Rattus norvegicus: one gene and its partner. The protein of the gene in region 1 interacts with the protein of each later gene in a biochemical or structural test. Links are inferred from orthologs where the notes say so. Each region holds a gene or a part of one and is shown in the gene's direction. Other genes may lie near its edges.

Region 1 (4,411 bases):
CTGCCTGTATGTACAGGGAGCTAGAAAACTCTAGTTTTGCAATGAGTATAGATCTGATGTGCAAACTACATGTACAGTCCCATTATTCAGACACAGCAAATGTGGGAAGGGTTTCATCTATGGCCAGTGCATTTTAATTACTGGACCCCAGATGAACACTTACTTCAGTTTAATGAGTCTTTTAACATTTGGAGGTTGGAGTTGTTTTTATGGTCAGGGTCTCACTGTGCAAAGTTGGCTTAGTACTTGTGACCTTGCTGCCTCCACCTCCCACATGTAAAGACTGCTAGTGTGTGCGAGAACCCGAAGGCAGAAACCTAATAAGTGGGTGTCATTTATCCGATCTGTGCTGATTTAATGTAGTATTTCTTACATTCTAAGGCATGTTTCTGGGTTGTTATCTCTATTTATAAATACACTTAAATCAGTAACTACACATCTGAAATAACAGCCTAGCTAATTTATCTCATAAGAGTGGTCCCACACAATTCCTCCTTTGAAAAGGGGTGGGAAGCAGAGGGAGAAAGGTCAATTTAAGTCCCAATTTCTGAAAACAGGTATCAAGGTGTTTTGGGTCTTGTACAAAGTCGAAGGACTTAAGATAAAAACCAGCCTCAACCCACACTAGACAACCTTGCTTTTAGCCTTGAGGCCTTCACACTTCGAGAACTGCTCAGATTTGTGGAAAACTAGTTATTTTAAGACAGGGTTCCACTCATAGCACAGGCTGGCCCCCTGAGGCTGCCAACCTCTTGCCTCAGGTTCCAGATGCTTCGGATTACAGGTTTCTGAGCATACTCCCCTAGGGCTGTTTTTGTCCCAAAGGCAAGTCACTACAACTCTTGAGCACCACGACCCTGGGGTCTGCAGGGCGGGGAGGCAAGGTGACAGCAGGTGAGCTAGGCGCGGATGAGGAAGTGAGCCTGGCACCGTGTGGAGGATTACTCATGCTGCTTTCCTGCGAGCGGAATTTCTGGCCTCGGTCTGTCCTGCTGAAGTTCAACCCAACTGCTGTCACTTCCCGTCCGGGTAGGCTGGGGAAACCCGCGCGTCCGTGGGAGGGGAGGGAGGAGGCACAACGGGTCAGGTAGCTCGCGCGCGACAAGTCCTGGTTGTCCACGTCCCCGGGGCGCACGCGCGGGTCTCCGCACCCACAGCAGAAGCGCGCGGGTCCGCAGAGTGCGCACTCCACCGCGCGAGGGCTGAGCGGGTGTGGCCCATGCCTACAGCTCCACCTGGCCTAGGAAGCCATGCTGCAGCCTCCCGTTCCTGTCCCTAGAGTCCCTGAACCGTTCTCCGCTACCCCACCACACCTGAGCAAAACTTTTCCCTCGCCTCCACGATTCAAACTCCGCAGCGTCTAAGGCTGCCGCAAACCACCCCGGCCCTAGCAACAAGGTTCCGGCCGTAGAGCGAGCGCCGCTAGGTGTTAGGAAGGTGATGTCGTAAAGCCCCGAGTGTCGTAAACCAGGTGCGGTGGGGAGGGGGAGGGGTGGAGGCGGCGGGTGGGGGGGGGAAGGGGAGGGAGGGAGGGAGGGAGGAGGGGGAGGAGGTGACTCGAGCATTTAGACACAAGCGAGAGGATCATGGCGGATGGCCCCAGGTGTAAGCGCAGAAAGCAGGCGAACCCGCGGCGCAATAACGGTGAGTGGCGGAGGGGCCCGGCGTGGCGGCGGGCAGCGGGCTGCCGGGCGAGGGGCGCGGGGCCGAGCGGGCCGGGGGCGGCGGCGGGGCCGGGCCGAGTGGAGTGGGAAAGTAAAGTAGTGCGCCCCGCTGCCGCCGCCGCCGCCGCCGCCGCGGCCGCCGTCCTGGACCGTTATGTCTTACCTGCCTCTGCGCCTAGCGGCTCGGGCGGCCGCCGGGGACCGTTAGCCGCGCCGCATCCCGCCGCCGCGCCCGGCCACTTTTCCGCCCGCGGGTGGAGCGGCTGTTGCTTCTTTCCGCACTTTCTCCACTCTTGCTGCCCCTCGGCGCCTCCCCGCGCGCGATCCTCCCTCCGCGCAGGCCGCGGCGGCGGGGAACAAACTTGCGGCGGGCGGGCGCGGACTGCGGGGCGGGCGCGGGCGGGAGAGGACGGGCGGTCGCGGGCCAGTTGCGTGTCGGCTGCGTGTCGACCGTGCGCGCGTGTGCGCGGGAGCGGGCGCTGCGCGCCGGGTCGGGCGCCCGCGGGAAAGTTGCGCCCCGCGCGCTCGCGGGCGGGCGGGGATGGGGACGCGCGGGGCCGCCGTGAGCCGGGCGCTCAGGGGGTTGGAACCCGGCGCCTGCGGTGCCCGTCGGGGGCCGGGCACGCTCTGGCGGCTCCTGGCTGCTGCCACAGGGCGTGTGTGTGCGTGGACTCGCCGCCTGCGGGCCGGGAAACAGCACAGACAGGTCGGGACACCCGGACAGCCCGAGTCCCGGCGGGCACGGGGCTGTGTGCATGCGCCTCGCTTTGGCTCTTTCGGTTTGGGGAAGTTGTTACCTGGGCCCGACGCGCGAGCAGAGGACAGATAATGGAGCTGGGCTGGCGCACGGGGTCGCGAGTGGGGCGGGTGGGGGAGGGGGCTGGCGGCCCGACGGGCGCACGGGGCTGCGGCTAGCGGTGCAGCTGCGCGGGGTATTGATTTCCGCGGATGTGCCAGGGAAACACACTCCTCCTTGGCCTGGCTGCAGAGTTTTTTGTTGTTGTTCTTGTTGTTGTTCTTGTTGTTGTTGTTGGGGTTTTTTGTTTTGTTTTGTTTCTTAAGAGAAAAAGCTACAGGCACTAGGAGAGAATAAGACACCTCGACTTTTGTCGGTGGGTGCCCCATGGGCTCTCCCAGCGTGGGGAGACGCGGGGAGTTGCTGGGTGATGCCCCTCTTAGGCGAGTGTGTGCTCTCAGCTTGCAGCGCGGACAGCCTCTGCTCCTGGTCATTGTCTGGACAGTCCCTGCGGCGGCGGCCGGGGGATGCCCCCGCCCGGGTACCTGTGTGTGGTGATGGGCGGCCACAGCCCTGTGCTGCCGCGGCCGCGGCTATATAAGGAATTCCTCATGCCTTTCGTACCCAGTGGCTGCGTGGGGCTCCCGCGGGGTGTTGAACGAGTTTTTAAGATTGGGGGTAATAAATATGCCCCTGATGGCATCAATGTGTCGTCCAGAGAATTAGGAAATCCTGTTTAAGTGGCAACCGTGGCGCGCCCCCCACGCCCCACCCCTGCCCGGCCTGCGTTGCTCCCTCCCCTCCGGGATGCCAAACGCCAGGTTTTGTAACCTTTCCTGGCAATTTTAGATTTTGTGTGGGATTTCCTGTCTAGAAGCAGATATGAAGATTTTAGTCTGTTCCAAAGGTTTCTTCTCGGTTGTAAACACATTTTGAATATATCTGAGCCCACATTAAAATCTCCGCTGCCATGAATGATTTTCAATTCAGATAAATGTTGCGTTTCGGAGAAGCCTGTTCGTTCGTTCGAAGGGAAAGGTGTGTTGGGTAGCGTCATTGTGGAGAGGTGACTGGTTGTGGCAAGGACCTGAGCACAGGCTACCGCAATTGTAATTTCCTGCTTCTAGCGTCAAATAGTGTCTGTTCTACATTGGGCTGTTGCCGCTATTGCTGATGTGGCTTTATGAAAGGTAAGTTGGGTAGAAAAGGGCTGTTCGCTGCCCTTATGTTATTTAAAATGTTAATCGCCAGAGAAAGGGGCTTTTCTTGTTGCTGACGACATGTGTGTGACATGTGAATCTGAACCACCCAGCGTCTGTGCAGCTGCTGTAAACATGTTTACCTGAACAGGGAAGAATGGATTTTTCTCCTAGCGATCCTGTGATATTAAAATATCACACACATAAGGCATATCAACAGATGACTTAAGGGGGGAGAAGGCTCTTCCGAAAGGTGCTTGAAATCAACAGGAAAAAGAGATTCTTGATCGCTGCAGCAAATGGCAACTTGTGCAGGTAGAAATAAGATGGTGTTTAGTTTTTTTCCTGCATGTATGTCAGCCTCCTTTTTGCTGCCTTCATTTTCAGGGGAGGGATTTATGTAGCAGGCTTGCTGTTAGCGTTTTCCCTTTGTGTTTAATATTAGAAAAACAGATTTGGGGCTCTTGTGACTGAAATGTCTTGACTGCAGTATGCATTACTCAGAGAAAACAAAAGGTGTGTGAGAGAACGAGGTGCTACCACAGGTATCTCCCGTTTCCATCACTTTTGGCTTTCTCTTTGTATTTCTTTTTGTTCTCAAATGCTTTCATCCATCGCTAACCATTGCAGCCATGCTATTTGATTTCTCCTGCTATTTTTGCAAATTAAGAACGAAGTTGTATGCATTGTGTTGTGAAACCTGGGGATAGGTGCTGGTCGATATTACTTGGCAATGCAGTCATATTTAAGTTGCAGATGTTTCAGCAGAGAATTGTCTAGAAAAATGTTAACTCTTAAAACCCATTTAAATG
Region 2 (4,547 bases), on another chromosome or scaffold:
ACAATCTTCCTGCTTCCCTTGTTCCAGTCACAGCCATTTTAGAATGTCTCTCTCCTTTCTCAGAATGTGAAGCTTCTGTTTAGAACATCCATATTACTTGGATACAGGCAAGTCTGTTTGAAAGGTGGGTGCCCTCTCTGTTCCTTTGGGCTCCCCTTTCATACTACTTAACTGTGTTTTTATTTAGTCAACTCGGGATTTTGAGACTGAAATGTGATTTAGACCCTTCTAGGACCCATTCAGGAGCTACTGGTAACTCATACCTCAATGGGGAATGGGAGGAATGGAATGGAAGGCCCAGAAGAGACACGGCTTGTTCTTTCTTTCATCCCTCCCAACCAATAGACTCAGCAGGACATCTTTGCTTAGTGTAGACATCTGGGGATGTTTAGTAGGCAGAGACAGGTTATGTTGGGAATATAACTGCTTCCCCAGCAGCTCTCGTTGCCATGTCAAAGGGTATCATAGGTTGTCCTTGTGTTCTGAGAGCCCCCTCCCCAACTCTCCTCACTTGTATGGTATGAGAGGTCTCCCTTAGTGGATAGCTCATTGTATCTAGGTATAAAGGAGGGGGCATCTTACAGGGAGGCCAGAATCTTGGGAAAGCCCAAGTCTGTGGTATGAGTCCTGAAAGTTATAGGTCCCTGTGGTCTTTCCCCATAGTCCATGTCAGCTGTGGCCCCTACCTCCCCTTTGAGTTGATGTCCTGAAGTCATTGAGTTAACTCTGGGAGAGCAGACCCAGGTTGTGATGGGGAAGAGTGTTAGGTTTCAATAGGAAGTTTTTTTTAACTGATTCTGAAATAACGTAGCTAATATTTAGAGATACATTTTCCTGATTCCAATCTTTTCTTTATAGGCATCTCTCCTAATTGTTTTGTAACTATATGTGTTAATACTCTGGAGGTATCTTGGTGAAAGACTTCTGGGATCTGGAAAGTTTTTGGTAAGGAGGAGCCCAGACTATAGAGCAGGCAGATCCCCTTTTCGGGGTTCTTTACACATTCACCCATAGCAGTGTTTTTAAGTGTGCTGATGCCCTGCAATGTGCTACCTACTGGTTTTAACCTGAACACTGAGTACTAGAGTTACTAATGTAAAGGATGCGAGAACATATATGCTGCAACTCCATGTAAACATGTTAGCATTATTCTGCCTTTGACTGATGAACTAAGGCTGAAAGTGTTTATGGTTTTCCCCTGTAGAAACAGCAAGTTGCTGGGCTGAGGTCTATTTCATCCTGAATCATATGCTTATTTTTCCTCTCCCCGACACTCAGAAATAATAACCTCTCCACTTTACTCTTGCGATTTTAAATTTAAAGCTTCCGTAGAGAACACTGTAGAATTTGCCATCTTGGTAAATCCCTAACCCTACCTTGGTTAGTTTTGTTGCTGTTGTTTCAGGGTTTTTTTTTTTTTCCTTTCTATTTCTCCACCCCCCCCCCTCGGTAGAGTGCCATAAACAGGTGAAGCCTAAGCCTTCCCAAGATCTTTTTCTAAAATCTGTGGCTGTTGTTACCTCTGGTAGAATCTCTTTCAGGAAGGGGTTTTTCTGCCTAGGGGGACAGCGGTGCCATTCATCCCTGTTGGAGGCCTGATTCCGGGGCTGGGGGCCCATACGTGGAGAGGGGAGGGGCCAGGGGGCGGCCCCCTTGTGACCAGCCCTGAAGAGAGGTCAGAGAGAAGACTGGCAGAGGAGCGCCTGGACAGCAGCAGCAGCTGACTTTCTAGATCAAGCGCGCCTTGGGGCCCCAGGTAACAAACCCAGACCTTTTTACAAATCCGCGGGCTTGGGGAGCTGCCGTGGTTGCGGGGAGGGAGCATGCACTTTGGGGGTCGCGTACTGTGGATGGGGGTGGTCACGCGTGAAGGGAGTCTGAATTCTGGGGGAAACCCTAGGAAATGAGAGGACAGGAGCCAGAAACGGGGTGTGAGGGCACAGGCACGAAAGAGCAAGAGAGGGCGCTCGAGTGTGGCACACAGCAAGTGCGCTTAGGAGTAGAGGCTGGAAGCATAGGTAAGAAAGGAGCTAGGGGACACTTTCGTCCACTGAGTCAGTTTTTTCCAAAGATAACCTCCTTTCAGCCATATTTAACATACACTGTTGACTCAAGGGGCTTAAAGATGCAAGGAAAGAACGCAGAGAAAGGTGCGCCAAACCCAGGCTGCACAGAGCGCCGAAAAGACAGCGGGTTATGCCTTTTAAAAAGAGTTGCCATCCTTTCCACCCTAAAGCTCAAGCCAGTCCCCTTCTCCCCTTCCCCGTACCCACAGTTCTGGCGGCCTTTGGAGCAGGTAGCCGCGGGCTCGGGTTCCGCACGCCACGCGAGCCCCGGTGCAGGGGCGGAGCCGCGGCCGCGCGCGGGGCTCGCGGCAGGGGGAGGGGCTGAGGCTAACGGCACCGCGGCCATGACGCCGGGCTGGCCGTCCACACGAGTTCCTGTCTCCCTCCACCCATAGTCATAGCTCATTCCCAGACGCGTTTCTTCCCAGGCTTGGGAGTGAGCCGATGGCCCACGTTCGAGAAGCGTCCCGGTCCTCCCGCTCCGTCGCCTGTTGGAGTTCGGGAGGTGGTCGAGGAGCCTGTTTGGAGCAGGCGGCTGAGAATGCATCGAGAATGGAGCAGACGATGCGGGGTACACAGGGAGCCCAGGAGATGAAGCCGGAGCTGTGGCCGGAGCCCAAGCCCACGTCGGAGAACTTAACAAGTAGGGGCAGTGGCAGCGATGAGAAGGTGCTCCCTTCTATCCCGGCTGCTTGTCACACCAGCTCCAGCTCGGTTTGCCCGCGCCGCAAGCCCCGCCCTCGGCCCCAGCCCAGGTCCCGCTCCAGGGGAGGGCGTGGGCTCAAGGCCCCACCCCCGCCTCCCGCCAAACCTCCGCCTCCCCCGCCAGCGCCGCCGCCACCACCCCTGCCCAAGCCGCGGCCGGTGGCCTGGCGCAATTCCAGGCGTAGACCCAGGCCTGCACCCAGACCCCAAACACGGAAAAGCTACCCTAGTGACCCAGGCTGCTCTGGGGACTCAGATGGCACAGAGAACAGGTTACTGGAGGTAGGGTTTGATAAGGGTCCCACAGGCTGCTCTCATGTAGAGATCTTTAAAGTAGCTAAAAACTGGCGGAGGAACCTGCGGATGATCTATCAGCGTTTCATTTGGAGTGGAACCCCGGAGACTAGGAAGCGTAAGGCAAAGACATGCATCTGTCGTGTATGTAGTACGCATAAGAACAGACTCCACTCTTGTCTGTCCTGTGTATTTTTCGGATGCTTTACTGAGAAACATATTCATATTCATGCAGAAACTAAGCAACACAATTTAGCAGTAGACCTCTACCATGGGGTTATATATTGCTTTATGTGTAAGGATTATGTATATGACAAAGATATAGAAAAGATTGCCAAAGAAACAAAAGAGAAAATTCTGGGACTCTTAATGTCCACTGCAGGAGATATGTCTTATCAGCAACTAATGGCATCTGAGGTTGAAGAAAATCAATCAATCTGTGAGTCCAAAGAACAGGAGACCAGTTTGGTAAAACCCAAGAAAAAGAGGAGGAAGAAGACAGTGTATTATACTGTAGGCCTCAGAGGGTTAATTAATCTTGGGAATACTTGCTTTATGAACTGTATTGTCCAGGCACTTACCCGCATTCCACTACTGAAGGAGTTCTTCCTTTCGGATAAGCACAAATGCATGATGACAAGCCCCAGCTTGTGTTTGGTCTGTGAGATGTCTTCACTTTTTCAAGCTATGTACTCGGGGAACCAAAGTCCTCATATTCCCTATAAATTGCTTCACCTGATATGGATCCATGCAGAGCATCTAGCTGGGTACAGGCAACAGGATGCTCATGAGTTTCTGATTGCAATATTAGATGTGTTGCATAGACACAGCAGAGATGATGGCATCGAGCAAGAAGGTAACCTCAACCACTGTAACTGCATCATAGACTACATCTTTACAGGTGGCCTGCAGTCCGATGTCACCTGTCAAGTCTGTCATGGTGTCTCCACCACTATAGACCCATGCTGGGACATTAGTCTGGACTTGCCTGTCTCTTATACCCCAGGGAGGGCTGGCAGCACAGGCCAGAAGCCACGAGTCATCTCACTTACAGATTGCCTGAAGTGGTTTACAAGGCCCGAAGACCTGGGAAGCAGTGCCAAAATCAAATGCAGTCGATGCCAAAGCTACCAGCAATCTACCAAACAGCTCACAATGAAGAAATTACCGATTGTGGCCTGCTTTCATCTGAAACGGTTTGAACATTTAGGCAAACAGAGACGCAAGATTAATACTTTTATCTCATTTCCTTTGGAGCTAGACATGACACCCTTTTTGGCCTCTACTAAAGAAAGCATAATGAAAGGCCAGCCATTAACGGAGTGTGTGCCAATTGAGAATAAATATTCTTTGTTTGCAGTGATTAACCACCATGGTACTTTGGAAAGTGGCCATTACACCAGCTTTGTCCGTCAGGAAAAGGACCAGTGGTTCAGCTGCGATGATGCTGTAGTCACTAAGGCTACAATGGAGGAGTTACTC

The links.
Region 2: the proteins of Zeb1 (region 1) and Usp51 form a complex in vitro, tested with the Homo sapiens proteins (2 studies listed by BioGRID). The link is inferred for Rattus norvegicus from reciprocal best matches to the Homo sapiens genes ZEB1 and USP51.

Annotation. Positions count from the first base shown.
Region 1 is NC_086035.1:56,807,806-56,812,216, reverse strand, and holds the start of Zeb1 (zinc finger E-box-binding homeobox 1), read left to right. Parts: upstream 1-1,563; 5' UTR 1,564-1,586; coding exon 1,587-1,644; intron 1,645-1,827; exon of another isoform or gene 1,828-1,839; coding exon of another isoform or gene 1,840-2,421; exon of another isoform or gene 2,422-2,451; intron 2,452-2,565; exon of another isoform or gene 2,566-3,583; coding exon of another isoform or gene 3,584-3,590; intron 3,591-4,411. Other genes in the region: basic proline-rich protein-like, read right to left, coding at 1,840-2,421. UniProt on the Homo sapiens protein: Acts as a transcriptional repressor. Inhibits interleukin-2 (IL-2) gene expression. Enhances or represses the promoter activity of the ATP1A1 gene depending on the quantity of cDNA and on the cell type.
Region 2 is NC_086039.1:21,752,712-21,757,258, reverse strand, and holds the start of Usp51 (ubiquitin carboxyl-terminal hydrolase 51), read left to right. Parts: upstream 1-1,680; 5' UTR 1,681-1,756; intron 1,757-2,494; 5' UTR 2,495-2,510; coding exon 2,511-4,547.